Linked DNA regions of Macaca mulatta. The protein of the gene in region 1 interacts with the protein of each later gene in a pairwise test. Links are inferred from orthologs where the notes say so. Each region holds a gene or a part of one and is shown in the gene's direction. Other genes may lie near its edges. The genes, in order: TNIP2, STK11 and NFKB1.

Region 1 (10,043 bases):
CTCACTGCAGCCTCAACCTCCTGGGTTTACGTGATCCTCCTGCCTCAGCCTCCCATACAGCTGGGACCACAGGAGTTTGCCATCACACCTGGCTAATTTTGTTTACTTTTTTTTTTTTTGTAGAGACAGAATGTTGCTGTGTTGCTCAGGCTGGTCTAGAACTCCTTCCTTCCAGTGATCCTCCTGCCTTGACCTTCCAAAGTGCTGGGATTACAGGCATGAGCCACCATGCCCAGCATGGGATTTTTAATTATTTAAGGAACATTTTTTTTTTTTTTTTTTGAGACGGAGTTTCGCTCTGTCGCCCAGGCTGGAGTGCAGTGGCCGGATCTCAGCTCACTGCAAGCTCCGCCTCCTGGGTTCACGCCATTCTCCTGCCTCAGCCTCCCGAGTAGCTGGGACTACAGGCACCCGCCACCTCGCCCGGCTAATTTTTTGTATTTTTTAGTAGAGATGGGGTTTCACCGTGTTAGCCAGCATGGTCTCGATCTCCTGACCTCGTGATCCGCCCATTTCGGCCTCCCAAAGTGCTGGGATTACAGGCTTGAGCCACCGCGCCTGGCCTATTTAAGGAACATTTTAATGATTTTTTTTTTTTTTTTTTGAGACGGAGTCTCGCTCTGTTGCCCAGGCTGGAGTGCAGTGGCCGGATCTCGGCTCACTGCAAGCTCTGCCTCCTGGGTTTACGCCATCCTCCTGCCTCAGCCTCCCGGGTAGCTGGGACTACAGGCGCCCGCCACCTCGCCCAGCTAGTGTTTTTGTATTTTTTAGTAGAGACGGGGTTTCACGGTGTTAGCCAGGATGGTCTCGATCTCCTGACCTCGTGATCCGCCCATCTCGGCCTCCCAAAGTGCTGGGATTACAGGCTTGAGCCACCGCGCCTGGCCCATTTTAATGATTTAGTTGTGTTTGTTTGTTTTAGAGACAGGGTCTTGCTCTGTGACACTGCCACCTGGGCTGGAATGCCTTGGGGCCATCATAGCTCACTGTAACCTTGAACTCCTGGGCTCAAGCAGCCCTCTCGTCACAGCCTCCCGAGTGGCTAGGACTCTAGGTGAAGAGCCCACCACAAGGACTATGAGCCACCACACCTGGCTACCTTTTTAAGTTGTTATAGAGATAGGGTCTCATTATGTTGCCCAGGCTGGTCTCAAACTCTTGGCCTCCAGGGATCCTCCTGTCTCGGCTTCCCAAAGTGCTGGGATTATAGGCATGAGCCACTGTGCCTGGCCTTATCTGGAATCTTATGCAATTACATACTTATTGCTCATCCCAACATTCAATCTGAGGTCAATCACGGAACCTGTGGAAGAATGGAGAGGTGTGTCACCTCCTGTAGGCCCTGGGTTCACTGAGGTGGCAGTGCAGAGTCAAAGACACAGCAGGAAGCAAGCTGTGGCTAGGTTGCCCTCATCTATGGCCGTGTTAGTGAGGCCGTTAGGAGCAGGAACCCTGGACCGATAGGGACTGAGGGCTCCCAGAGAGAGCGCTGAGGCTCGGGGAGTGGAGGAGCTGACCAGTGCATCTGTGATCAAGCTGTGGTCAGTGTGTGACGGGGCAAGATCAGGCCAGAGAATTGTGGTCCTCACTGCAGCCACAGCTGGACTTAAGACCTTACCTCATCTGTAACACAAGACCTGAGTGGATAGCTCTGCAAAGCCTCCGGTTAATACTTTCTGGAATAATGGCACCAATTCATTGTGCAACCTGTTACTGCCCAAGCCCCTCTTGTCACCACTCTAGGGACCAGCTTCATAGGCTTTGCCTGGTCCTGGCTTATCAGCCCCCTTTCCCTTCCAGCTGAGCTTAGCTTTGCTTTGCTTGCTTTCTTGGCTCTTTCTTTCTTTTCTTTTCTCTTCTCTTCTTTTCTTTCTTTCCTTCTTTGTTCCTTTTTTTTTTTTTTTAGACTGAGTCTTGCTCTGTCACCAGGCTGGAGTGCAGTGGCACGATCTTGGCTCATTGCAACCTCCATCTCCTGGGTTCAAGCGATTCTCCTGGCTCAGCCTCCTGGGTAGCTGGGATTACAGGCGCCCACCACCACGCTTGGCTAATTTTTTGTATCTTTTTTTTTTTTTGAGACGGAGTCTCGCTCTGTCGCCCAGGCTGGAGTGCAGTGGCCGGATCTCGCTCACTGCAAGCTCCACCTCCCGGGTTTACGCCATTCTCCTGCCTCAGCCTCCCGAGTAGCTGGGACTCTAGGCGCCTGCCACCTCGCCCGGCTAGTTTTTTGTATTTTTTAGTAGAGACGGGGTTTCATCGTGTTAGCCAGGATGGTCTCGATCTCCTGACCTCGTGATCCGCCCGTCTCGGCCTCCCAAAGTGCTGGGATTACAGGCTTGAGCCACCGCGCCCGGCCAATTTTTTGTATCTTTAGTAGAGATGGAGTTTCACCATGTTGGCCAGGCTGGTCTTGAACTCCTGACCTCGTGATCTACTCACCTCAGCCTCCCAAAGTGCTGGGATTATAGGCGTGAGCCACCACACCCAGCCACTTGCCTTGTTTCTTTCTTCCTTTCTTTTCTTTTCTCCTCCCCTCCTTTCCCCTCCCCTCTTTTTGACAGGGTCACTCCGTTGCCCAGGCTGGAGAGCAGTGCCATGATCATAGCTCACTGCAGCCTTGACCTCCCAGGCTTAAGTGATCCTCCTGCCTCAGCCTCCCAAGTAGCTGGGACTACAGGTGCTCGCCACCCTGCCTGGCTAACGTTTTTTGTATTTTTTGTAGAGACCGGGTTTTGCCATGTTGCCCAGGCTAGTCCCAACCCTTGGGCTCAAGTGATCCTCCCATCTTGGCCTCCCAAAGTGTTGGGATTACAGGCTTTGGGAGAATACGCTTCTGTTGTTTAAGACACCAAGTTTGTGGTACTTTGTTACAGCAGCCCTGTAAGCCAAGAGGCCATTGTGCCTCTTTTTTTTCTTTTTTAATTTTTTTTTTTTTAGACGGAATCTGGCTCTGTCACCCAGGCTGGAGTGCAGTGGTGTGATCTTGGCTCACTGCAAGCTCCACCTCCCGGGTTCACTGCAAGCTCCACCTCCCGGGTTCACACCATTCTCCTGCCTCAGCCTCCTGAGTAGCTGGGATTACAGGCGCCCGCCACCACACCCGGCTAATTTTTCTATTTTTAGTAGAGATGGGGTTTCACCGTATTAGCCAGGATGGTCTCGATCTTCTGACCTCGTGATCCGCCCGCCTCGGCCTCCCAAAGTGCTGGGATTACACGTGTGAGCCACCGTGCCCGGCCTGTGCCTCTTGTTTTTAAGGCCAATCCATAAGACTATGAATAGAGCTGTTGACACTTTTGTTCTGCGCGTGGAGCGTGGAGTTGTGGGTCCCAGCGACATGCTTTCCTGAGAGATGGCCGCCCCGTTGCTGACTAGTCCATGTGCTGTGCCCGTGTGTGTAGAGCCACAACTCCAGCACATACCTTGCTTTCTGGCCACAGTGGTCGAGGTGCTGTTGTGTCCTAAGAACTGTTACTAACTGGACAAGGCACTCAGGTAAACCAGCGCACATCTCTGCAACTTCAGAGCCAGGGACAAATGCCAGAACCTTGGGGGCTGGAGGGGTGTTGGGGCCCTGCATGCTGCTAAGGGGAGGATATGTGGGGCAGCCGTTGGCAGGGCTGGTCTGCCCCCATGGGTTGAGCATAGAGCCTGGGTCTTCCTGTGTCTCTGTATGGCCCAGTGATATTCCCATTTACTGGGCATCTGTGTGGGGCTGGGCTCAGTGTTGAGTACTAAGGTGGGAGGTGAGAGAGAGCCGCCCGTCAGGATCTCTGGGCTGTGGGCCTGCCGCCCTCCTGTTGGTGGGTCGTTTGCTTCTCCTGCTGTCAGCATTTGACCAGCGTAAGAAGGAGGCTCCGAAATCAGATTTTACCTGGGCACAGTGACTCCTGCTGAGGCAGGAGGAGGATTGCTTGAGGCCAGGAGTTCAAGACCAGCCTAGGCAACATAGCAACACCCTGTCTGTATTGAAAAAAAAAACAGAAACAGAAGTCGGGTTTTGCCCCAAGTCTTTTATCCCTGAAGAGGGTCTCACTGTCACCCAGGCTAGAGTGCACTGACACCATCACGGCCCACTGCAGCGTTGACCTCGAGCCTGTGGTCCCAGCTATTTGGGAGGCTGAGATGGGAGGATCGCTTGGGCCCAGGAGTTCGAGGCTTTGGTGAGCTTTGATTTACTCTACTGCAGCCTCGGTGTCAGAGCGAGACCCTGTCTCAAAAAAAAAAAAAAAAAAAAAAAAGAAAAAGAATAATCAGGGTTCCTGCAGTAATAGGGCTTAGTATTTTGTTCCATTGTGATGAGAACATTCTAGGTTCCCGGTCTCTGTTTCTTCTCACCTCAAGTACTAGAGACAGAGGCTGGACCCTTCTGCCGCTTCTGGGGGAAGCTTGGGCTCCTCCCTGACTTTTCTGAAACTGTTTCTTCACTTGTGGGATGGACTAGTTGTGCCTGCTTCACCTCCTTCATGTAATGTACTGTTTATTTTGGAGGAGTCTTTGAAAATGGAAAAGCACAAATTTAAGGCCAGGTGTTAAAAAATTGTCAGGTCAGATGTGGTGGCTCTTGCCTGTAATCCCAGCACTTTGGGAAGCTGAGGCAGGCAGATCACTCAAGTCCAGGACCAGCCTGGGCAACATGGTGAAACCTTGTCTCTACAAAAAATAGAGAAATTAGCTAGGTACAGTGGCCTGCACTTGTTGTCCAACTCATTAGGGTGCTGAGGCAAGGGGATCACTTGAACTTGGGAGGTCGAGGCTGCAGTGAACCATGATGGCACCACTGTACTCCAGCCTGGGTGACAGGGCAAGCCCCTGTCTCAAAAAAAATTGTCATTTTAAGAACCTTTTTCATTTCTTTAAGAAGTAATTGGGGTTGGGTGTGTTAATTTCCTAGAGCTGCTGTAACAAAGTAACACAAACGGGGGGGGGGGGGTGCGGGGGGAGGGGTAAGCTTCCACCAACAGCAATGTAATCTTTCACAGTTCTAGAGGCCAGAAGCCGGAAACGAAGGCATCGGCTCTCTCTGAAGGTCCTAGGGAAGAACGCGCTTCCTCGCCTCTTCAGCTTCCTGTGGGGGCCGCCAATCATTGGTGTTCCTTGGCCTTTATCTACAAGACAAGATGTCACTCATATCTTTGTTGTCACATGGCCTCCTTCTGTGTGTCTGTCCAGACTTCCGTCTTCTTCTTAGGACACCAGTCCCGTCCTAATCCAGTTTGTCCTCACCTTAACTAATTACATCTGCAAAGACCCTATCTCTAAATAAGGTTTCGTTCCCAGATACTGGGGAATGGGGGGTTTGGTTGTGGACATCTTTTGGGGGTTGCCCACTACAGTGGAGTTTCTACCTTTCCTATCAAAAAAGTGCTTGGAATTGCCACTTTGATAATTTGATGAAAACTGCATGTAGTGGCTTGAGCCTGTAGTCCCAGCTATTCCGGAGGCTGGGGTGGGGGGATTTGCCTGAGCCTAGGAGTTGAAGACCAGCCTGGGCTATATATAGCGAGACCCTCATTTCAAAACAACATCTTGATGATACGAAATCTAAAATGATGTGCTTGCTTGTGAAAACAGAATTTGGCGGGGTACGGTGGCCCACACTGTCATCCCAGCACTTTGGGAAGCCAGGGCGGCTGAATTGCTCGAGTCCAGGAGTTCAAGACCAGCCTGAGCATCACAGCAAAACCCTGTCTCTACAAAATACAAAAATGTTAGCCAGGCACAGTGGCACGTGCTGTAGTCCCAGCTACTCAGGTTAGGATGGAGAATCGCTTGGGCCTGGGGAGGCCGAGGCTGCAGGGAGCCATGATTATGCCACTGCACTCTAGCCTGGGTGACAGTGAGACCCTGCCTCAAAAAAAAAAAAGGGCTGGGCATGGTGGCTCACGCCTATAATCCTAGTACTTTGGGAGGCCGAGGCGGGCAGATCACCTGAGGTCAGGAATTCAAGACTAGCCTGGCCAACATGGTGAAACCTTGTCTCTACTAAAAATACAAAAATTGGGCCAGGCGCGGTGGCTCACGCCTGTAATCCCAGCACTTTGGGAGGCCGAGGTGGGTCGATCACGAGGTCAGGAGATCGAGACCATCCTGGCTAACACAGTAAAACCCCATCTCTACTAAAAGTACAAAAAATTAGCTGGGCATGGTGGCGGGCACCTGTAGTCTCAGCTACTCGGGAGGCTGAGGCAGGAAAAAGGCGTGAACCTGGGAGGCGGAGCTTGCAGTGAACCGAGATTGTGCCACTGCACTCCAGCCTGGGTGAGAGCAAGACTCTGTCTCAAAAAAAAAAAAAATACAAAAATTAGCCGGGTGTGGTGGTGGGCGCCTATAATTCCAGCTACTGTGGAGGCTGAGGCAGGAGAATCACTTGGATCTGGGAGGTGGAGGTTGCAGTGAACCGAGATCATGCCACTGCACTCCAGCCTGAGCAACAGAGTGAGACTCTGTCTCAAAAAAAAAAAAAAAAAAAAAATTTTAAGATGAAGTTTCAGAACAGAACATTGTAGGCTGAAAAACTCCAGAGTTAATAGTTCAAATGCCCGACTTCTGAGTGAGTAATTGTTAGTTCAGATGCCCGACTTTGGAGTGAGTGTGTTTGTGTCTGGTGCTGGGGCATCCATGCCAGGTCTCCTTTTGGTTTCTGAACATTTGCTCTCAACACTGCTTCTTTTAATTCAGTAAACTGTGCTTTTAAATCTTCCACTTAGGAAATTGAGAGGCTGACTGAACGACTAGAAGAAAAAGAGAGGGAGATGCAGCAGCTACTGAGCCAGCCCCAGCACGAGCGAGAGAAGGAAGTCGTCCTGCTACGGAGGAGCATGGCGGAAGGGGAGCGCGCCCGGGCCGCCAGTGATATCCTGTGCCGCTCCTTGGCCAACGAGACCCATCAGCTACGGAGGACGCTGACCGCCACTGCCCACATGTGTCAGCATCTGGCCAAGTGTCTGGATGAACGACAGCATGCACACAGGAATGTGGGGGAGAGAAGTCCTGACCAGGTAGGCCACCGTGTAAGATTGTGGTGAAGAACCCTGTGTACTGGGAGCATTGCCTACAGGCCCCGATCACAGAGGCCAGGGGCTGTCCCAGAACCCAGTCTGTTCTCAGCAGCGAGAGTCAGCTGACGGGACAAAGCTCGCTCATCCAAGGGTTTCTTTTAAAATGATGGAACATGCACAGTGTAATAGGAAAGCAGGCAGCCACCGCACTGCCCAGCACCAGGCCTGTAGCTGACCCTGCTCCCAGGTGGGAGGTGGCACCTGGCTTTCATCTGCCTCAGCTGAGGATGAGGAGGAAGACATGAGGGTGGCAGAGCTGCATGGAGGAAGTGCAGTCACATCCTCCTCATCTGAGGAAACTGAAGCAGAGCCGGGTGGTACTGCTGGGGACAGGGAGTGCCTCCAGTTCCACACCCAGAACTCCCGGAAGGACCGTGAGTCGCCTTCTGCAGGCTCAGTGTGTCTGAGTGGATCTGGGCACAGCTGGAACCGCCATCTCCAAAGCTGGCGTTAGGCATGTCCTTGCCAGCAGCGCGACCTCCCACAAGCTTGGAGACCTGTCTCAGGGTCACAGCCTCCTCATCAAAGCAGGGGACAGCGGTGCCAGGTGACAGTGAGGGCCAAAGAAGGGTTCACTGGACCTCCAGGATAGGCTGGATCTGGGCTGTAGCTCTCTGTGGGGTCCAGTGGGAGAGAGAGGAACTGTGGGAGTTTCAGCATCAGGAGAAACCAGGAGGCTCCTAGGCAGAAGAGTAGGGAGCAGCGGCCACGGCATGTGTGTGCCAGGTGCTGTGGCCAGTGTGAGCCAGCCACCTTCCATCTCGCTGGTGCCCGTGGTGTCTGTGTGTGGCAGGCGGGGAAATGGAGGCACTCTGTGCACATCCCACCCAGGCTGAGGTGCCACCGCACTCGCACTGCCGGGCACAGGGCCTCTCGCTCGAGTCCTTTCTAGGCAGTTCTCTGAGGCAGCACCAAGGTTCATGCAGAAACACACACGCTGGGATGTTCTGCGTCAGACAGTACCTCCCGCACCCATCGGCAGCCTCACCAAGGCGCCTACTGGGGAGAAGCTTGGTCTGAGAACTGCCCACCTCAGCTGGGTGGATTCCAGGCGGGGAACCTCAGAGAGGACACAGCCGCATTCAGAAACCAAAGGAAAGTGCCATCGGGGCGGAGGCCGGTGTTCTGGTCTGATTTTGAGTCAGTGTGTCATTTCCCTCTGGGGAGTTGAAAGGAGCCACACACAGTGTTGAGCCTGAGGCGGGGGTGGGGCCAGTGGCAGCGTAGGCCCTCGTCACAGTCTCTAAATAAGTGTCACTTCTCAGCCCTGAACTCAGCTGAGTCACCCGGGGCTTCCCGGTGTAGGCTGCGTTAGGACATGCACTTCCTTTGTCACTCGGGGGGAATTCTCAAAAATTATGTCACTGATATACAGTCAGAATTCTAGAGTACACACGAGTTTCATGAGACTTTTCGTTCAGGTCTCTAGTTGTTAGTGGGGGTTGGTTTGGGCTGTGGCCTCCATGACTCCTGACCCTGCGTGGGGCAGAGGTTAGATTGCTGTGTCCAGAATCACCTGGTTGAACCCGATTGTCTGCAGACAGGACAGTGTCATGGGCTCCAAAGGAGGTAAGCAGGGTGCATGGCCAGGCCCACCCTGGGCAGCTGAGAGCCCCCTCGCTGGAGATCCTCTGGTTTACAATGGGATTCGGCTTCCTGCCCTCCCTGCTGTCTATGATAATGGCAAACCTCTGGCAAAGAGAAGACTTGATCATGTCTGGTGTGCCAATCCCTGTAGACATTATGACTTTAGAATATTTACATTCCAAATATTTAAAAGACAAACAGCTCAAACTGGTAGGTAGGATGGGATAAGGACGGTGTCAAAGGTGATGTGGCCTGAAGACCCTCCGTCTGGGCTCTGGCCTGGGCCTGGTAGGGGTGGGCCTGGGCAGGGAGAAGGTGGTCCCTTGTCCCTGCTTTGCTTCTCTACCAAATGAATGATCACTAACCGCTGCCTTGGGGGATGCAGTGATCATCTGTGGCCTCAGCCTCTGGGTCTAGCTTTCTCCCCTCTTGCTGTGACAGATTGTCTTCTCTCTGTCCCTTCCTCATGCAGTCAGAACATACAGGTGGGCACACCTCTGTCCAGAGTGTTATTGAGAAGTTGCAGGAAGAAAATCGACTGTTAAAACAGAAGGTGACTCACGTGAGTGTCTTTCACATTTTGTTTGAGAACACGCGGCTTACAAACTGTGAGTGAGGGTTCTTTCCTTGGCTGAGGCCCAGAGGTTGCCCCCGCCCTCTGGCCACTATGACTTGATACACACAGTCCCTAGAGACTGGACTTTTTTGCTTAAAACGACGTACAGGATATGTCCTGTCCGTCTCCATCCCCTAAAATTAATCCACAAGTCAGTAAAGGAGATGCAAGAATTAGCAGCAGGAGGTACCTTTTCTAAGACAGAAAAGCGAGGTGGGTGGATCACGAGGTCAGGAGATCGAGACCACGGTGAAACCCCGTCTCTATTAAAAATACAAAAAAATTAGCCGGGCGCGGTGGTGGGCGCCTGTAGTCCCAGCTACTTGCAGTGAGCCGAGATCGCACCACTGCACTCCAGCCTGGGCGACAGAGTGAGACTCTGTCTCAAAAAAAAAAAAAAAAAGGCCGGGCGCGGTGGCTCAAGCCTGTAATCCCAGCACTTTGGGAGGCCGAGGCGGGCGGATCACAAGGTCAGAAGATCGATACCACAGTGAAACCCCGTCTCTACTAAAAATACAAAAAAAAAATTAGCCGGGCACGGTGGCGGGCGCCTGTAGTCCCAGCTACTCAGGAGGCTGAGGCAGGAGAATGGCGGGAACCCGGGAGGCGGAGCTTGCAGTGAGCCGAGATCGCGCCACTGCACTCCAGCCTGGGCAACAGCGTGAGACTCCGTCTCAAAAAAAAAAAAAAAAAAAAAAAGCAAAGCTGCACCAAGTGCACCTCTGTTTATGCTGGTTGCGTACGGGTGTCATCACGGTGCCTCGGGATTCTCTAGTGGG
Region 2 (9,831 bases), on another chromosome or scaffold:
CCTCATGGTCCACCCGCCTTGGCCTCCCAAAGTGCTGGGATTACAGGCGTGAGCCACCACGCCCCGCCCTGTGAAGGCCCAAGTTTTTAAAAACAGTTTTGGGGACTCCTGTGTGTGGTATCCACGGGCAGGGCTGCTGTCAACCTCCTGCCTCCATCTTTGCTGGGCCTGCTGCCTGAGGCCGGCAGCTCACCCCATCCCGTCCCAGCAGCCACCTGCCCCGACCGGACCTCCTGGTACAGATCTGTTGGCTGCAGAGTCAGGGCCCCTTGCTGCTGCAGGACTGCAGGGGCAGGGAGGGGCCTGCTGTTTCAGCAAGCCTTTGGGGTGCAGCCGGCCTGTGGCCCACAGGGAAATGAGACCTGTGGACATCCGGGGCCCTGCCAGACGTGACTCGGCCGGATGAGGGTGGTCACTGCAGGCGCAGGCCTGGCTCCCTACTGGACCCAGCTTTTCCTCTGTCCTGTGTGCCTGGACCTCCGTGACTCCCCAGCTGGGCCTGTGGTGGTTGGGAGGCTCCCAGGCGGCTGCAAAGGGGACCCCTGTGAGGAACAGGGAGGCCTCGGTCCCAAGACAGGTGTGTGCTGCCCGCAGGTACTTCTGTCAGCTGATTGACGGCCTGGAGTACCTGCACAGCCAGGGCATCGTGCACAAGGACATCAAGCCCGGGAACCTGCTGCTCACCACCGGGGGCACCCTCAAAATTTCCGACCTGGGCGTGGCCGAGGTAGGCACGTGCTAGGGGGGGCCCTGGGGCGCCCCCTCCCGGGCACTCCCTGAGGGCTGCACGGCACTGCCACAGGCACTGCACCCGTTCGCGGCGGACGACACCTGCCGGACCAGCCAGGGCTCCCCGGCTTTCCAGCCACCCGAGATTGCCAACGGCCTGGACACCTTCTCCGGCTTCAAGGTGGACATCTGGTCAGCTGGGGTCACCCTGTAAGTGCCCCGGCCCCGCCCCGGCACTCGCCACACGCACAGCCCGGAGGGGCCTCTGCATCTTGGGCAGCTTCTGGCCTGTGGGTGCAGGGCGTAGCCACCAGCCTAGACCCTCGCTGACCACAGCCACTGGGGGTGCTTACTTTATGGAGACGTAGCTCACACGGCAGATGGTGGTTCACCCATGTGACATGCAGCCTAGCCTGTCAGGGATCTTCACAGAGTGTCACAACCAATCCTCCTCTCAGAGCCCCACAGGAAAGCTGGGCGGGTGAGAGTGGCTCCAGGCCCCTCCCCGGGTGGGTCCAGAGGACGCTCCTCTCTTGCCCCATGGCTTCCACTAGTGGGAGGCGGTGAAGACAGAGGTGTCCTTGAGTCCGCAGGGCCTGTGGTCCAGCAGCCACGCGAGGGCTCCGTCCCTGGGGCAGAGGTGGGGCTCCCGGGGCGTCGACCACCTTGACTGACCACACCTTTCTTCCCTCCCCTCGAATGAAGCTACAACATCACCACGGGTCTGTACCCCTTCGAAGGGGACAACATCTACAAGCTGTTTGAGAACATTGGGAAGGGGAGCTACGCCATCCCGGGTGACTGTGGCCCCCCGCTCTCCGACCTGCTGAAAGGTGGGGGCCTCGTCCCTCTGCCCACAGCCCCAGGGAGGCGGGGCTTTTGTGCAGAAATGCAGGGTGGGGGGTGTTAGGTGGGGGGCTATTGGCCCTGAGACCCCTGCAGGCACTGAGAGGACTGAGCGGAGAGGCCGGCCTCCCACTAGGGCCTGGTTTGTGGGTCCCTCAGCTCCACCCTGCTTCTGGGCCCTGTTCACCTTTCAACTCCCACCCCTGAGGGCAGTGCTGCCCTGCGCCTCCCCCAGCCCCGCCCTCGGGGGCTCCCTGGCCTGTGTCAGGCTCGTCCTGCTGCACTTCCTGTGTGTGGGCAGCAGGTGGCACTGGCCGTCTGTCCGTCTGCCCAGTGGCCTTGGGAGAATGGAACTGCCCTGCCTGTCCAGCCCAGCCCTGTCTCCCAGGCAGGCACGCAGAGGCTGTCCCTGGCCTGTCCCCTGGAGTCGCCTCTGTCAGGGAGGCCATCTCAAGGGGGCCCCCCTTGGGAGCATCCAGGTATCACCTGGGGCCTGACAACAGAGGCTGGTCAGGTGGGGATGATTGGTGGGGTCTCGGGCCTGTGCCTGGCTGACTGGCTCCTCGCCGGCTTCTCCTCAGGGATGCTTGAGTACGAGCCGGCCAAGAGGTTCTCCATCCGGCAGATCCGGCAGCACAGGTGAGCGGCCCCTGGGGGCAGTGGGGCCAAGACCACAGGGAGGCTGGCCACGTGTGCAGCTGGTTGAGTGGGCACCAGAGCAGGGCATGGTGGGGGTGCTGGGCTGGGGCCAGACCCCGTGCAGCGCCCGCAGTTCTCAGGGCCCAAGTGGGGTCTCTGGGCAGTGCCCTGTTAGTGGCCAGACAGGCCTTGTCTGAGCTGGGGTCTGAGTGAGGACGTGCATCCGTCTCTGCCCTAGGCATAGAGACACACCGGGAAAGGCACAGCTGGCCCTGAACGCTGGCGAGAGCCCCTCTTTTTACCCTCCTCCTGGGGCTCCCAGCAGCACGGTCTGGTTGGGATCCAGCCAAGGGCACCCAGCTCTGTGACAGGGAAGACAGCAGGCCCCGCAGTGCGACCTCCCTCGCCTCGTGGGCTCTGCTCCTCTGCACCAGCCCCTGGGGTCGCTCGAGCCCCGAGGCCCCCCAGAGACCAGCTCTGGGAGTGGGAGTGTCCGGACCCCTGAGGCGCTGGTGCCGATCGTCCCTTGGGGATCTCTGCGTAGCTCAGGGGCAGCTGGGAACCGGGCGGGTGCTGGGGCTGCCCCCATAGGCTCCTGGGTTAGGATGTATTCATGGCCCCCCAGACCCCCTTCTGGCCTTTGCTGACGTCCGTCTGGTGGGTGCTGGCTTCTGAGTGCCACCTGGGAGACAGGCCTGAGGCTGGGCGTGGCGGGGGGTCAGGCCTCAGGGTGGAGGGGACATCTGTCAGGCTTGGAGTGAGGTCAGGGCTACAGACTGAGGTCCTGGCAGCCTGCCTGCTCCGGGAGGGCATGGCTGAGCGTCTGGTCACAGCCACCCGGTGCGCGGCCTGGTTCCGGCTCCTGAGCGTGCAGCAGGTACTCTGAGCACAGAGGAGCCAGGTTGGGCAGCTGCACCGTCCTGGTGCGAGCCTGACACGCACCACTGCTTCTGGGCGTTTGCAGCTGGTTCCGGAAGAAACACCCTCCGGCCGAGGCGCCGGTGCCCATCCCGCCGAGCCCGGACACCAAGGACCGGTGGCGCAGCATGACTGTGGTGCCGTACTTGGAGGACCTGCACGGTGCGGACGAGGATGAGGACCTCTTTGACATCGAGGACGACATCATCTACACTCAGGACTTCACGGTGCCCGGTGAGTCTGGTGGGGGCCCCTGCCCAGCCCTGCTCACTCGGCTGTGACGTCCCACAGGAGCAGGGCGCCTGCCTGTCTGCAGTGAGGACAGCTTCTGCCCTCTGGTGGCCAATCCCACGTCCCTGAAGCCTCCAGCCCACCTGCAGGCCGCCTCCGCCCTGGGGGCAGCTGGGACACGGCTGAAAGGCGTGGGGGCAGCGGGGGCACTGGCCAAGGCCTGTCTGGCCAGGAGGCTTCCCCAGGTGTCTCTCCGGGTGCTGCCTAGCCAGGCACCGCCCACCAGCCTTGGCCTGAGCCCCAGCAGGAGCAGGCGGGGAGCCCCAGGGTCGGGGGAGGGCGGGTGAGAGTCAAAGTGCAGGGTGGCCCCTCAGACAGCCGGCATTCGAGGGTCCAGTGGCCCTCCCTCCCACCATCCCTGAGGCCTGCCCGCTGGCCCTGATGCCGGCCGCCCTTCTTCCCCAGGTGGCGAGGAGGCGTCTGAGGCAGGGCTTAGAGCGGATCACGGCTCACAGAAGAGCGAGGGCTCAGACCTTTCAGGAGAGGAAGCCTCGCGGCCGGCGCCGCAGTAGTGCCGGAGGAGGAGCTCAGGGCCTTAGCATAGGGGCGGCCCGCACTGGCAGCCAGCCCCTCCCCGCCACGCTCCGGCTTGCCTCTGTTCCGCCTGGGGCTGGGCTGTGTCATAAAGCGATGTGCAGTGTATCTGCAGATGGATGCTTGCTGTGCTCGGCTGGAGCATGGCAGGGGCTTTCTGTTTCACTGTATCAGCATGAAGTGGTGGGCAGGGGCCAGCCTGAGAAGGGGGGTACACCAGGCAGGTTGGGATGTGAAGATCCAGGGGACAAGGACCACCCCGGGCCCGAGGGTCCCAGAATAGTGGGGGCCCTGCAGAGAGCCTCATCCCTCAGCACCCCCGTGCCCCTCAGCAAACCTCTAGGCTCAGCTCAGTAGCTGGTCCCCAGGAGGGTACCATGTGAGGACCCCGGGAGAGCACAGTGGGGGGCTCCAGGGGGTGCAGTGTGGGGGGGCTCCCCTGGAGGGCACAGTGTGGGGCCCCCGGGAGGGTACAGTGTGGGGGCTCCCCAAGAGGATGCAGCATGTGGGGGCCCCCCAGGAGGGTACAGTGTGTGGGGGCCCCCAGGGTCAAAGGGTCTCGCCTCCTGGGCTCTTGGATTTGTGGCACCGTGGCCGTCGCGTCTGTTGGGACGGGAGGTGCTGCTGGGCACCCTGGTCACTGGGGTGTGCTGGGAGGTGGGGTCCCCTCATGGCGCCCATCCTTGGGGCCTGGCTGCAATTTGACCCCAGGTCCAGGGCCTTCTGCCTTTCAGAGCTCTGGGGCCCCGAGACGGGCAGTCAGGCAAATCCCAGGCAGGAGGGCCAATTAGGGCAGGGCCAGCCCAGGCAGGCCGCCAGAGCCCTTGCTGGGACGTGGACCACACGCTGACCCTCACGGCCGCCCCTGCAGGCCAGGATTCCTGAGCCAGGACCCGGCACTGGCTTCCCTCCAGGCCTGTGTGAGACTGCCCTGTGTGGGCTGCCCTGGGGTGAGGTACCGGGGAGGAGGGCAGGGGTTGGGCCACCTTTTTCATGACCCTGCTGAGCCCACTGTGGGTGGTGGGAAGGAGTACCCGGCAGAGTGGGGTCCGCTGGGACCACTTGGCATGGCTGAGGCCTCGGTACTCGGTACTGGGTGCTCAGGTGCTGACGCCCTTTCCACTGCTCAGGCGCTGGGGACAGGCTCAACTTGAGGCTTCAGCGTGAGCCCCATCCCTGACCTGCAGAGCCCCCTTGCATCGGGGCAGGACAGCCCAGCGCCCTTGGGTCAGGGTGTTCTCCACACTAGGCCTGGGCTGCTGCATTGGCCCCTGCATGGCTCCACTTTGGCCTTGCCTGTCCCTACCCAGGATGGGGGTCCTGCTGCCGACACCCAGAACCAGGGAAGGGGCTTGGGGCAGGTCCTGGGCACCAGCGCAGACAGGCGTGTGGGGTGGGAGAGGGGACCGAGGGTCCCAGTGCCTCGTGGGGGCAGGGCCCTGGTGGCAGCTGTGCCACTGATGCAGAGCTAGGGCACCTTGTCTACCAGGTTGGCCCCATGGGAGTGGGCACAGGGTCTGCCCCAGCGGAGATGGGCTGGGTGTAAGACCTATGGGTGCCATTGATGCCTCCTGACCAAGGTGCTTTTTTTTTTTTTGGAGACAGTCTTGTTCTGTCGCCCAGGCTGGAGCGCAGTGGCACAATCTCGGCTCACTGCAACCTCCACCTCCCAGATTCAAGCAATTCTCCTGCCTCAGCCTCCTGAGTAGCTGGGACTACAGGTGCGCGCCACCACGCCCGGCTAATTTTTGTGTTTTTAGTAGAGACGGGGTTTTACCATGTTGGTCAGGCTGGTCTCAAACTCCTAACCTCGTGATCCACCCGCCTCGGCCTCCCGAGGTGCTGGGATGACAGGCGTGAGCCACCGCGCCCGGCCCAAGGTGCCTTTTTAAAGCCAGTGACTTCCTGTGCACACGGTGGGAGGTGTATGGCAAGTCCTGGAAGCTGCTGAGTCAGCCACCGGCCCCTTCTCGGAGCTGGGGCTCTGCACGGGGCACATGAGCTCTGGGGCAGCCCAGGGCAGCCTCCCACTGACGGCGCCTGGGAGGGGCCTTGGGGGTGGCTCGGCAGCCAGTGTGTTGGCGGAGTCCTCACAGACCACCACAGCTCCTGGCAGGGACAGCACGTGGGCAGCTTCCTGCACTTCCCCCGCCATTATGAGGACATTGTCCACCTGGGCAGGGTGGGCAGCCCCAGGCCTGTGAGTTTCACAAGACGCTGGTGCTGGTTGGTGGCCGGCAGAGACTGGGGGCGGCTGGGGGCCCTGGCAAGCTGAGCTCTACTCCCCACGTGGTTCTGTGCTGGCATTTCGCCTGCCTGGCCTGAGCCTGGCCCTCCTGTGTCCTCACAGGTGAGCATGTGGTGGCTCCACCTTTAGAACCAACCATGGGCCAGGGCACCCCAGGGGAGCACGGGAGGGTCCTGCCCTGTCCGCTTGCCGCCTACTCAGGAGGCCCCTGTAGACAGTACCTGGGTGGGGTCCCACCTGGGGCCGTGGCAGGTGCAGCAGATGGGGTGGAGGGGGCATTCCTCCCAGGCCATCTGTGGGAGGCTCATCCCCTGGGGGTGCCTCCCGGAGCTGCTGGGGGACAGCATTTCAGGTTGGAGAGACTTGGGCCTGACCCGGGGGTGGGCATGGCCTGGGCCACAGCTGTAAGTGTGTCCCTGTGCTGGGGGCCAGCCAGGTTCCTGCGGCTCTGGGGGTGCGGCCCTAGGCTCAGGCCACACTTGCCGTCTCCCTCCCAGGACAGGTCCCAGAAGAGGAGGCCAGTCAGAATGGACAGAGCCGGGGCCTCCCCAAGGCCGTGTGTATGAACGGCACGGAGGCGGCGCAGCTGAGCACCAAATCCAAGGCTGAGGGCAGGGCCCCCAACCCCGCCCGCAAGGCCTGCTCCGCCAGCAGCAAGATCCGCCGGCTGTCGGCCTGCAAGCAGCAGTGAGGGTGGCCACCTGCAGGTGGGGTGCGGCGGGACCCGGGCGGGGCATGTGGGGACACTGCAGGGATGCCACAGCCAGCCATGAGCATAGCCCACGCCAGTCATGGCGGCTGTCGAACGGCTGCGCATAGTTGCCATGTAGCCTTTGGGTAGCTTGGCCACGTAGCAATCCCCACTGAGGGTGGTATCTCCGGGCCTGGTGTCTGGCTAGCGTGCTGGTCACGGAGGCCTACGTGTGGCAGGACTCTAGGGGGTGTCGTGCCATCCTCACAGCCATCTCTCAGAGTGGGTGCATTTAGAGGACCCTGCCCTGGGCCTGGCACACCCTCCCCATGCATGGGCTACTCCCGGGAAAGGCTCACGTTGGGCTCAGCCCAGAAGCTTTTGAGGCATGAGTGAGTGGTGGGTGGTGGGGAGGGGCGGCGACCTCCATGGCCCTGCTGGGCTGCCCCAGGCTTTGAGCCAGCTGCCAGGTCTGGCTGAGGCTGAGTCGTGCCAGACGCTGCCCTGTCTCTCCGTGTGTGCCTGCTCCCTCTCCCAGCCCCAGATGTCAGAGACCCTTGTCACCTGCTGAGGATGCGGGGTGGATGGGAGCCCGAGGCTGAACCCCCTGCCTTGCCACAGCCCCTCTCCCAGGTTTTGGGGGTCACTGCCTGAGTTACGTGTCTATCCCCCAAATGGGTGCTCACAGCCCATCCACCAGCGTCAGAGCCTGCCAGACCCTACTACAAAAGGCTACACTTAATGTATCCCGGGAGTGACTCAAGGGTGGCCTTCCCTGGCCTCCCCTGCTGCCCCACTGGAGTGTGGTAGCCCGATGACTGCACCTCAGCTTCTCCATCCTCCCAGGAGCCCGAGGGAAGCGGAGAACCGGTACCCAGGCTGACCTCTTCCGTCCTCCCTCCTCCCTGCAGCCCGTGTCCAGGAGCCCCGCCAGGTGCCCGCGCCAGGACCTCAGTCTTCCTGCCGGTCCCGCCCGCCCTCCCGGAGAGGTGGCTGCCGTGCCTCTGTGCCGACCACGCCCCAGGACCTCCGGAGCACCCTGCAGGGCCGGGCAGGGGGACAGCAGGGACCGGGCACAGCCCTCCCCTCGGCCGCCCGGCAGTGCACGCTTGTTGACTTTGCAGCCCGGGGCAGAGCCTTCCCGGGCAGGCGAGGGAGGAGGGAGGCGGCCTCGATGCACTTTACGTGGAGACTACTGGCCCCGCCCGTGGCCTCGTGCTCCGCAGGGCGCCCAGCGCAGTCCCCGCCGCAGACCAGCGGGCGGGTGTGGAGACCAGGCTCCTGGCCCTGCCATGCATGCAGCACCGCCCGGAAGCCGCGCGGCCACTTTGGTTTTGTTTGGTTGGTTCCATTTTCTTTTTCTTTTTTTTTTTTAAGAAAAAATAAAAGGTGGATTTGAGCTGTGGCTGTGAGGGGTGTTTGGGAGCTGCTGGGTGGCCGGGGCGGGGGGGGGGAGGTGGTGCCGTGGGGTTGGGCTCACATCGCAGCTGCCTTTGCGCGCTCGGGTCACCCTGCTTCGGCCGCCCGGTCTGAGGGCAGGACCCCTCACCTCCCCCAAGGCCACTGCGCTCTTGGGACCCCAGAGAAAACTCGGAGCGAGCAGGAGTGTGCAGTCAGTATGTATAATCATCCAGAAAACAGAAACACGAGAAACGCCATCGCGGGATGGTGCAGACGCGGCGGGGGCTCGGAGGGCGTGGTGCGGGCGAGGGCGCCCGAATTTGGCAATAAATAAAGCTTGGGAAGCTTGGACCTGGCCGTCTGGGTTTTGTTCGCGTCTCAACATGGACGGGGCGGCAGCGGGGCGGGCGCCGTTCACATGCGGAGGGCAGTGGGGACTCGGGGGCGGAAGGGCCGGGCCGGCTCCCCCAGGGCCGGCGGCAGCAGCGGCGGCGGCGCAGTTATTGCTCGGAGGCGGCGCGGGCTGCCGCCAGCACACGCCGCGGTGAGGTAAACGGTCTCGGGGGTCGGCAGTCACGGTGTTGAGCCGCCTCCCGGCCCAGGGCGGTCAACTCGTCTGCGGCCCTTAGCGCCCCGCGGCCCCAACCCGGGCGAGCTCGCGCACGCGCCCGGCACGCGGCGGCTCCATCCGGCCCGGCGGGCTGCGCGTCCCTCGGGTGGCGCCCCTGCGAGTGTCTAAGCAGCCGCCCGATCCGGGACGGAGGGCAGTTGGTCGTTGTCCTCAGGAGCCCGAAGCTGAGAGCCGTTCACGCCCCTTCCTTCCCGCCCAGCCGGGGTCTCCGCGTCCCGCGCCTCACGACGCGCAGTACCCGGCAAGCACCGGCCATAGAAGTGCGCACTTCGACCGCGCGAGGGCGGCCGGGGCTCTGCGCGTGCGCCCTGAAGCGGCGAAGGGCCGACGGTTCCAGCGCATGCGCGTCGGGGCGTCGCGCCCCCACGTCTCTCCCGCCGCCGAGGCCCCGCGCGGCGCCGAAGAAGCTGCCAGAGAGATGGGCCCAGGACGCGGGACTTAGGCCGGGCTGTGGTCGGGGGACGTGGGAGCGGCGGCGACCAAAGAGGGAGCCGCCACGACGGGCTCGGAGAGGCGTGGCGGAAAGAGTCTCTCTTCGAGGCCGGCCGCCAGCTTGTCCAGCACCGCCCCGGGGGGTACGACGCAGAGGCCCGAACCGGGGCAGCCCCCGCCGCCCGGCTCCTCCTCGATGACGGGGATGGCGGGGTCGTCGCCGGCGCCGCCCAGGGTACGGCCGTCGGGCGGGCCGTCCACGCTGTCGCCACGCCGCAAGGGCGCACGCGCGGGTCGGGCCGCACCGGCAGGCGGCGCCGGGGTTCCGGCCAGGGCCGGGGCCGCGCGGGCGCCGGGGTCGCTGTGCTGCCGGCCGCGCTGCCACTGCTTGCGGGCGTGCGGGTGCGCGCGGGCGCGGTGTCGCGCGGCGGCCGGCGTGTCGTCAAAGTGCGGGTCGTGGCGCAGGAACTC
Region 3 (10,043 bases), about 110 Mb from region 1:
CTTTTTTGTGTACTGGGAAACCAAAAACATCATGTGACTTGGTTTATTGCAGTAATGTGGAATTGAACCTTTCAATATCTCAGAGGCATGCCTGTATTAAACTTTCACTTCAGCCAAACTTATCTACTCCTGTTCTCATAAGCGCCCCGTGTACGTCTTTCCTTCATTATTGTTTTCCTCCATATCCCCTTCCCAGAACATCTTCCTTTTTCCTCCTCTTATATAAAATTGATTTTGAGAAGCCATTCCTGAATTTCCCATCCCCCAGTGACCTCCTAAAAGGTTTTCCTGAAACTCCTAGAACACTGATCTGCACCATGAATTTAATGTATGTAGTGTTATAGTGCTGTCTCACTAAGTCTTTCCCCCACTATCTTAAAATTATGTTGGAGGGTTCTTGACAGCAAAGACATTATGTCATGCTTTTTTTTATTTCCAACATTTAGCTCATTGTAGATGCATAATAAATGTTAACTTATTAACATGAGTTATTTTGTGTGACCAAGCAAAAGGGTCAATAATTTTTTATTCAATATCTTCAGTATCTTTTTGATGGACAATCGAATATTTCACTAGTTTTAACAACACTGGGCACTGAAGAAACTGTTGTAGAGTGGATTTGGGTGTGTACTGCTCTGTGGTCTCTTTGGAGCTAGCTTTCAGCATTCATACCCATTGGAATAAATATAATGCTTCTTGAAATTTAGCATCTCTTCCTCTTTGAGTGCTTTCTATTTCCCTTTAAGATGTTTAAAAATACCATTAGAATCAGTGGTCTTTCTGTGGCTAGTGGTGGGACCGAATCAATCTTTTCTCCTCTGGTTTCTCTTCCTTTAAATACAGATAAAGAAGAAGTACAGAGGAAACGGCAGAAGCTCATGCCCAATTTTTCGGATAGTTTCGGCGGTGGGAGTGGCGCTGGAGCTGGAGGCGGAGGCATGTTTGGTAGTGGCGGTGGAGGAGGGGGCACTGGAAGTACAGGGCCAGGTACAAAAACACCTATTCTTTCTAAAACTTTTTCATATTGGAGAGGGTAGAATTTTCTTTTCTTTGGTTTCTGAGTGTGTCTGTGAGTTGAGTGGCTATGATATTATTGAGTATATTAATTAAAATTTCCTGACAAATGTCAATTTATTTTTCAAAGAAATCTATGTTCATTTTACAATATGTAGGTAATCTCAAAAGCCTTTAAGAAGAAAAAAGGTACCCCAAAGCCAGTTTTTAATGAGTACCTCCCTAAACATTTTAGTATATTTCTCTTTTATGTTTTTTGATTTGGTTGTCTTGTTTTTGTTTGGAAACATTGAAAAAATTTTATATCATACATACCACATATTAAACATCTCTATATAATACATTGTAGAAAATTTGAAAATACATAAAATCTGCCAAAGGTTAACTACTACTATTTTTTATGTATATGTTATAGTAGATACTTATGAATTTTCCCCTGAATACAACTGTGATCACCATCATGCATTTTATTTTAATTCATTTATTTGTAATACTATTTTACTATCATTTGCACCATGACTGTATGTATAGAGTCATATGTGCAATGTTTACCTGAGATGTTAACATAAACATTTCCTCCAGTAATATGAACTTTACCTAAGCGTAAATTTTAAGCATCATTTTAATGACTCATTTCCTCAAGTGAACAAACCATAGAATAACTTACTTACATGTAGTTTCCTGTTTTCTATGTAAAATGCTATACTGAACTCCTATCCACATAACTTTTCATTTTATTCCAGATTACTTTTGTAAATTAGAGTCTTTGTAGTAAAGTTACTGTGTCAGAGGGCATGACATCTAATGCCAGCTGCTTCCCCAAAGAGTTGTACCAGCTTGTGCTTCCACCAAAAATGCCTAGGAGTGAACAGTGGTGGCCATTTTTCCATTGAGGAGTCAGTATGTTTTTCTGTGCTTTGTTTGATTTAGTTTTTTTCCTCAAGGGGTTATTTTAATGTTTTCTATGTAGGCAAGTCTGAGTTTGGTTGGTGACCCTCACTATTAGCCTCTCCCCTTCACATAGGAGTGGAGGCTTTCTCCATCGCAACCACTCCCCAAATCTGGGGTGCTGTCAGAGTTGCCAAAATGTAAACTTTATCAAAGTGGAATTCTGATGGTCCCATGACCCCCACCACGTGTGGGCACAGTACTGTCCTTTCACACCAAAGGCTGTGCTCACCTGACAGACAGACATTAAGTTGTGCTGAGTCTTGTAAAGTATCTTCATGATGTTTCATTTGTTTTACTTGCCATTTCAGGGTATAGCTTCCCACACTATGGATTTCCTACTTATGGTGGGATTACCTTCCATCCTGGAACTACTAAATCTAATGCTGGGATGAAGCATGGTAAGTAATGCTTTATTCTTAATACCAAGAAAGGAAAAAAATAATCCTAAAAAAAATAGATTTAAAAAAAAATTTTTAAATCCATCACAACAGTATTATTGTCTTGAAAAATAATTGATTAATGCAAATAAACTGAGAAGATACTTTTTCCAAAAGATATTATTTCCTGTGGCTAGTATAAACTCTGTTCCTTGTTTATATTTTATATATTTCCTTCGTAAGTGGCATGAACAGAGGAAAGAAAAGAGCATTGAAAAGAGATATACAGAGACCTGACTATTCAAACGTTTTAAACATCACCAAACTTATGTCTTCTGTCTCTCGTTTTCTCAAATAGTACACTTCTGAAATCATTTTGAGTTTTATAGGGTTTGTCTTTTCCCATCAAGTCATCACCTGAGAAGCTGCAGTTAAACCACGTGTTGATAGTTTACATTACAGGTCCATTCTAGTGTACCCATGGAAGAAATAATACTATAAAGAAGTCTTCCCATTTATTGAATACCTATTTTTGTGCCAAGTGCTTTTACATGTTTTAACTGTTATCTTCATGACTGCACTATATGGAAAATAGTATCTCCATTTTGCACACAAAAGACACCAAAGTTCAGAAATGTTTATACTCACTGAAGGCACACAGAAGTTAGTGGCAGAACAAGAATTTGAAGCAGGTCTCCACTATAAAAGCTAGATGCTCTCATAGTGTCTGTCAGATAACATAGTTGAACCTGAAAGAGGATGATCAGGAATGCTACACTGGATAGCTCCCATACTAAAGAATGTGAATTGACAACACGTCTTTATGACTTGCTTTGTTCATTAGCGTTAGGAAAAAACTGCTCTGCTTTCAAGAACTTTAAAAATTCAACTTTTCTGCAATTGACAGAAGAGCTTTATTTCATTTTTCTCCTTTACAAGTAAATAAGCAAAATGAGATCTAAGATTTTAGAAGTATACTAAAAATGGTTTTTAGAATTGAGTTTAGAGTATCTCCAAAACATGGTATTTATGATATGACCATTTTTAAAAGAATTTTAAATTATTATTTTTCTTTTCCTTTTGCAGCAAACTTGCCTCTTACCTTTATCTGACCTGCATTGGAATAGTGAATTATCACTAAATTAATACATTTTACTGAGAAAAATCTGATGTTTTTACATTTTTCTTAGGAACCATGGACACTGAATCTAAAAAGGACTCTGAAGGTTGTGACAGAAGTGATGACAGAAACACTGTAAACCTCTTTGGGAAAGTCATTGAAACCACAGAGCACAATCAGGAGCCCAGCGAGGCCACTGATGGGAATGGTGAGGTCACTCTAACGTATGCAACAAGAGCAAAAGAAGAGAGTGCTAGGGTTCAGGGTAAGTGAGCACACAAATTACGTTCTATTGGTTGGCTGGGGAGGGGTCAGTCCTAGGTGTAGAAAAGTATCTGCTAATCTGAAGATGACATATCAATATCTAGTTTAGCGTACTCTTCAAAGTTCTGTATGTCTTTGGAAGAGCATATGTCAGATCATTTTATTCACACTGGGATTTCCATTTTTGCTCTGTTATCTTTGAATGTAAAGTACAGAAATTTACATGTACATTCTCCAGTCACAATCATGCAGTTTTAGGGTATTGTGAGAGATAATCAACTTCTTTTCTGGCACAGATAGAGAAGTATTTCTACAAGCTTAATAGTCACCCTCTCTAGATTCTGGCTTAACCATCATACTGAAATAGAACTTTGCCTTAAAATAGGAACTTTTCTTTTTATCTTGTTGCCCTCTTTGAACAAGTAGGATTAGGAGAAAATGTACTTTTGCGTTTACTCTGAACCAATACTTATTAGCATATGTGTCATGATTCTAGGTCATCCTAGATCGTACTAAGAAGACATCTGTAAAAGCAATTAGAGTTGGTGGCCACATGTGGTATCTATCACATATGCCTTTTTTTTACACCCCTTTAAAAATGTATAAGCCATGATTAGCTAGGGAGCTATATGAAAAGCCGAGCATAAACAGGTTTTGGCCCAAAGGTCACAACTGCCATTCCCTGACCTTAATGGAACAAACTTTACAAAAACATGAGTGTTTCATGGAAAGTCTCTGTTTATGGCAGAGACGTGTGTTTTTTCACACATTGCCTAACAAGCTAATTGGTAGAGATCCCAATGAAGGATTATTTCACCAAGATATTGGTGATTTAAAATCATGGTAAAATCTAACATTGTTTGGAGATTGTTTTCCTTAAAATAACAGATAATGGTTGTTCCCTTAAAATAACACATTTCTAAACTTTTTCCTCTAACAAACCATACATAGATTCTTTAAGATCAATCTCTAACTATATTTGTCAGTGACCCAATGTCCAATTCTGCTTTTTCTAGTCAACACAATCCAAAAGCATTGAAAGAGCATTTTCAACTAAAATGATGTGTCAAGGTGTCAGAACACTGATGCTGGTCAGTTTGGCCTTGAGCATGCCATACCCATAAAACAAAAGTAGGAACACTCAACTATGATTGTGGTCATTGCCTTACAGATAACCTCTTTCTAGAGAAGGCTATGCAGCTTGCAAAGAGGCATGCCAATGCCCTTTTCGACTACGCAGTGACAGGAGACGTGAAGATGCTGCTGGCCGTCCAGCGCCATCTCACTGCCGTGCAGGATGAGAATGGGGACAGGTAAGTCAGGATTTTTTGCATGATAGGTTGTTCTGGGTAGGGAAAAAGAAGAGCATCATATAATGCATGCTGACTAGAGATAAAAATAATTGTTCAAATGTATTGAGTCCTCTAACTGGCACGATCAAGAAAACTAGTGTGAATAAGGTAAAGTAGCACAATTTGCTGCTCCATCCTGCTGCTGTCATCTGTTGGAATCTGTAGTAGCTGGAGGATTCATCTAAGAGTGAATCTCTCTGGGCAAGCAAACTAAGATGTGTATAGGTAATGGTACTTTTTGAAAAGCCTCGCTTTGTTTATTGAAATAATATTTGGAGAATTGTTAAGAATCCTACCAAATCCCTGAAACCTTGTTATCCCAGCTGCATATTTATAATGACAGTGTACTCAAGAAAAAGCTCAATAAAGGCAGCAACAACAACAGAAAGATTAAGAGGGACTGGTCATTCTTTCCCAGTTACTGGTTTCTTCTCTACTACCTCTTCTGGTGGTCACCAGTCTGTGACTGGTTCAGACTTTTGTGACTGCTCCAGCCCATGCGTGGGAGTCGAACATTCCAAACACCATGCCTTCCATTCCTGCTATTACTGAGATTGTATTTGCAAAGCCACCTGGCTTCTTTCTAAAACAGTTCTCTTAGTCCTTTCATTGAGACTTCTAAAGTATCTCGAAAGCCTATAAAAATAACAAGAAACAGCAGCCTTCACATTCAAGTCAAGTGCCTTATCTAAAACCTTCCTAAAATAGCATCAACACAGAGAAATCCTTTTCTGTGGAAGAGCTCTTGAGTGCTGTGTTTTAGACCTCAGTTTAAAAATTAAACCAAGCACTTTAGGAAAGTAACAACCTCAGGGTTTCAAGCAGAGACACCTTTGTTCTCGTTCCTTGCAACGTAACCAAGGATGTGGTATAACCACTGGCCTTGTTATACAGTATGAGAGGCACCAGTACAACCTTCTTGGTGTAAGGCCATGAACAGCAGAATGCTTTTTCAGGGTTAAATAATCCAGTTAGCATTCAATAGCATACAACCACAAGAAAAAGCAGTTAACTGAGACAGGATAGCAGTGTTTCAAGTGGCATTTCCAGGGACCTGTTGAATTGATAAGTCTAAGAAGATGAGCACGTGCAGGTTAGAAAGGAAGTGCTGATATCTGAAGGGGGGATTGTAGGAAGGGATACAAGGCGAGGCACGTGCAAGTTCCCTCCTAAGACCCAAGCACGCTCACACAAGCCGGCTCTCAGAGAGGCCACAGAGGTGGGACTTGGAGAGACCAAAGGATCCTCAGAAGAGTGTAGGTAAAGGGCAGCTTTTGGCCATCACAGCCCAAGTCTCTTGTTTTAATTCAGTCCATCATATTTGGCTAATAGTCTGAGTCCTGTGGCTGTTAGTCATCATAGAAAATACAATAAAGAAAAGTATATAAAACTTCTGCTATTGGGGAAATTCCCGTAAGGGTGTGAGGATTTCAGGGGGAGGGGGAATGTACTTCTGCTATGAAATGCTGAGCTGCACATGGAAATTTTCGGGCAGTTTTAGAAGTATGACCTTTTTCTTGGTATATGTGCATCATGTCTATGTCAGAGTTTAGGCCCTTTTCAGAAGTCTTCTTCCAGTATCACATTTCAAGAAGCAATAGTGAAACCCTGAGATCATCCATTTTAAAATATTTCTCAAGTAGCAAAATCACAATTTAGTTTTTTAGGCTCTTCTGTGCCAGTGTTAATCCCAAGTACGATATACTTGCTATTGCTAAGGAAGAGGCTTGAGTAAAGTGGCACCTGATAGCTTATTTTAGAGAAGATCCAGCCTGTACCTCATGTCCCAGATGTAGTTTTGCTGTGAGATGCTTTAGTGTGCTCTGCACCTCAATCTGTCCATGCTCTGGAGTGGTTATCTTCTTAGACATTCATCTGCACGTCTTTAGAGCAGTGCACATGTATCCCCTATGCAGGAGGATTGCTTAAGGGATTAAGAGATGGCTTTGGAGTAAGACAGACCTTGGCTTGAATCCCAGCTTCACCACTTATGGCCCTGACTGAGTTATATGAGGCCTACAAGTCTCAGTTTCATTAGCCAAAAAGCGAAGATAATATTACCTACCTCCTAGGATTATTGTTATAATAAAAAGACAATATATATCAAATGCTTAGCATAGTCTGGTAAATCAAAGCTCCCCAAAAATAGTAGCCACTGTTAAAATGATTGTTATTGTTATTGTTTTGAATTTTAATAGTATGTTTTTTAATAATTAAAAGAATTATGCTTCTCTGAGTGATTTTGACACCACCGGTATGTTCAGCCTCGTTAGTGTAAGCTCTTAGGTTCCTTCTATCATTCTTATTTTTGTGCCCCTACTGCATGCTAGGGCTGTAAGATTGACTCAGACAGAACCTGCCCCAGAGATGACAGGACAGAGAAAGAGAAAAATATGTAGAAAACTGCAGTTGCATAACCAAGCAGTAAATTTGAGAGGGACAACTTGCTCCACCTAGGAGGTTAGGAAAGTATTCTCTGAGGATGTCAGGTTTGAACTGGAATATAAAGGATGGAGTAGGCATTGTTCAGGCAGAAGAAAGGAGCAAAAACATTCCAGGTAGAGGGAATATTTGCCAGAATGTTTGCAGGAGTGGCGGGAAATACAATCACTTTGTTTCTTCACAAGTTTACTGCAAGAATTTTCTTCCAGTAGTTAAAAGCTTTACACCATTCTCCCCTCTTGGGATCTAGAAAGATCTTTAAAAAGCCACCGCAGTGTATTTTGGAGGAGGGCAACAGGACTAGGTGAGATAACTAAGTTTTCTGAACAATTCCTAGTGCCAGGCATTCATTTTACATAAAATCTGTGTGTCAGGAAAAGTCAGGGGGAAAGGTAGAGGAGAAAACCACCCAAAGCCATAGTATAGAGGTAGAATTGGGATTTAAGCTTAGGTACTTCTGGGCTGGAAGCCTCAGTGTGTTTATGCATCAAGGGGTCAGACGTGAATGCTCCCAGAGGCCAGGCAGGTACCACAAATAACATAACAGCTTTGGGCAGACAGTTGGGAGGGACGGGTCCTCTGGAGACAGCATCCCACCTCAGATTCAATACATTTTATAGATTCAAAACATTTTAGGGCCAAATAAAACTAGGTATGAGAACAGATTCCATCCTTGAATCTAATCACATCTTGGGAATCTTTTCTTTTTCATTAACATTTTAGTTAATTATTGCCACTGTGTTTTCATTCCAGTGTCTTACACTTAGCAATCATCCACCTTCATTCTCAACTTGTGAGGGATCTACTAGAAGTCACATCTGGTTTGATTTCTGATGACATTATCAACATGAGAAATGACCTGTACCAGGTAAGCCGAAATCTCAAGAAAACAACTGAAGAAAAATCCGTAGTTTACTTTTTCTTTTGTATGTTTGGGTGCATGTTATTTTTAGTAATGTTAAGAGTAGCAAAAATAAAAACAAACCCTTGTAGGTAATATCTAAAATCCCATTAGTTGAGAATGTTACCTTATGATTTAGGATCCTTTGATCTGTGGGTATAACAGCCATCAAGCCACAATGAAATTCAGCATCCCACTGGGGGAAGGCAAATTTTAAACTTTAGAAATCAAAGAGTTTTTTCATTTAAGAGGGAGAAACTAGAGTAAAAATGTCACATCTGTCAAGAAAAATAAAGTTAAAAAAAGGTTTGAAAAGCCAGTAATTTATAATAATTTTGGAGTCTACTGAAACATACGTTGACAATATCCAGATTAAATGTATATCAAATAAAGCGTTCTGAAATCACCACACAGAAAGGTTAAAAGTTTGCTTGAGGAGGAAAAGGTGTCTTCCAAAAGCAGAAAGACAGCTCCAAGTGAGGAAAAGTGGGAACACCAAAGTTTTGCCCAAATCGGGTTTTCTTAGGAATTAATTAGGTGGGCTGAAAATACAAGTTGAGGAACTGTTTTTTCCAGAGGTCTTCCAACACTGCAAAGGGAGAAGTTAGCTGGAGACACAGCGAGGCTCCCTAATGGGCATGTGCAGAATTCAGGGAGAGGCAAGGAGCCTGGGAACCACTTGGGCAGAAGCAGAGCTTGGACATTGGTGATGGGAACCCAGTGACCCCAGCCAGACTTTCTGGCTGAGCGACTGCACTGGCATGAAGCCAAGATGGGGTTCGGCTCCTGAGGTTTCCTCCTTCCTGCCCCCGATTGCTTTTCCCACCTCACTATCTTTCCCCCACTCCCACCAGTCTGCTGTATGGGGCTCCTGCCCTTGCCCACTTCTTAGCTTTCCATTTTTCTCCTTTCCTTCATTGACCCAAAGCATCTTCCTCATCCTCCTTGGAGAGATGGTTTGCTGGTTCACGTGTATCTCTCACTCCAAAAATATGGCCAAAATCCTGTGTGATTATTTACTTAGTGAAGGTATTTGTTCCTGCTCTCTCAGTTTTTAAAACAGTGATGTGAATCATTTGTTTCCTCACTTTCAAGGAAAATGCTTTTATTATTTTAAAGAAAATTAATTAAAACTTCATTTTCTTTAAAGAAAATTAAAATATTTATTTTCTTATTTTTATTTCCATTCTTTAAAATGTGCTTTAGGCTAGGTGCGGTGGCTCACACCTGTAATCCCAGCACGTTGGGAGGCTGAGGCAGGCAGATCATGAGGTCCTGGCTAACATGGTGAAACCCCGTCTCTACCAAAAAAAAAAAAAAAAAAATTAGCCGGGCGTGGTGGCGGGCGCCTGTAGTCCCAGCTACTCAGGAGGCTGAGGCAGGAGAATAGTGTGAACCCGGGAGGCAGAGCTTGCAGTGAGGTGAGATCACACCACTGCACTCCAGCCTGGGCAACAGAGCGAGACTGTCTCAAAAAAATAAAAATAAAAAAAAAATGTGCTTTAAAGTGCATTTACAGCAAAACTACTAAATGTTTACATGTGGCTCTTAATAGTTTTTACCTATGACTAGGAAAAAATTAGTAGGTTTCCTGATAGGGGAAAATGACCATTTTTCATTCA

The links.
Region 2: the proteins of TNIP2 (region 1) and STK11 interact in binary tests that used the Homo sapiens proteins (3 or more experiments, as listed by UniProt). The link is inferred for Macaca mulatta from reciprocal best matches to the Homo sapiens genes TNIP2 and STK11.
Region 3: the proteins of TNIP2 (region 1) and NFKB1 interact in binary tests that used the Homo sapiens proteins (3 or more experiments, as listed by UniProt). The link is inferred for Macaca mulatta from reciprocal best matches to the Homo sapiens genes TNIP2 and NFKB1.

What each region holds. Positions count from the first base shown.
Region 1 is NC_133410.1:2,890,393-2,900,435, reverse strand, and holds part of TNIP2 (TNFAIP3-interacting protein 2), read left to right. Parts: intron 1-6,710; coding exon 6,711-7,001; intron 7,002-9,120; coding exon 9,121-9,210; intron 9,211-10,043. UniProt on the Homo sapiens protein: Inhibits NF-kappa-B activation by blocking the interaction of RIPK1 with its downstream effector NEMO/IKBKG.
Region 2 is NC_133424.1:1,891,683-1,901,513, forward strand, and holds the end of STK11 (serine/threonine-protein kinase STK11), read left to right. Parts: intron 1-594; coding exon 595-727; intron 728-802; coding exon 803-939; intron 940-1,434; coding exon 1,435-1,562; intron 1,563-2,156; coding exon 2,157-2,214; intron 2,215-3,178; coding exon 3,179-3,366; intron 3,367-3,828; exon of another isoform or gene 3,829-6,702; coding exon 6,703-6,896; 3' UTR 6,897-6,912; intron 6,913-7,742; exon of another isoform or gene 7,743-7,807; 3' UTR 7,808-8,287; downstream 8,288-9,831. Other genes in the region: CBARP (voltage-dependent calcium channel beta subunit-associated regulatory protein), read right to left, coding at 9,367-9,831. UniProt on the Homo sapiens protein: Tumor suppressor serine/threonine-protein kinase that controls the activity of AMP-activated protein kinase (AMPK) family members, thereby playing a role in various processes such as cell metabolism, cell polarity, apoptosis and DNA damage response.
Region 3 is NC_133410.1:111,954,039-111,964,081, forward strand, and holds part of NFKB1 (nuclear factor NF-kappa-B p105 subunit), read left to right. Parts: intron 1-843; coding exon 844-987; intron 988-2,273; coding exon 2,274-2,363; intron 2,364-3,532; coding exon 3,533-3,727; intron 3,728-4,897; coding exon 4,898-5,039; intron 5,040-8,273; coding exon 8,274-8,388; intron 8,389-10,043.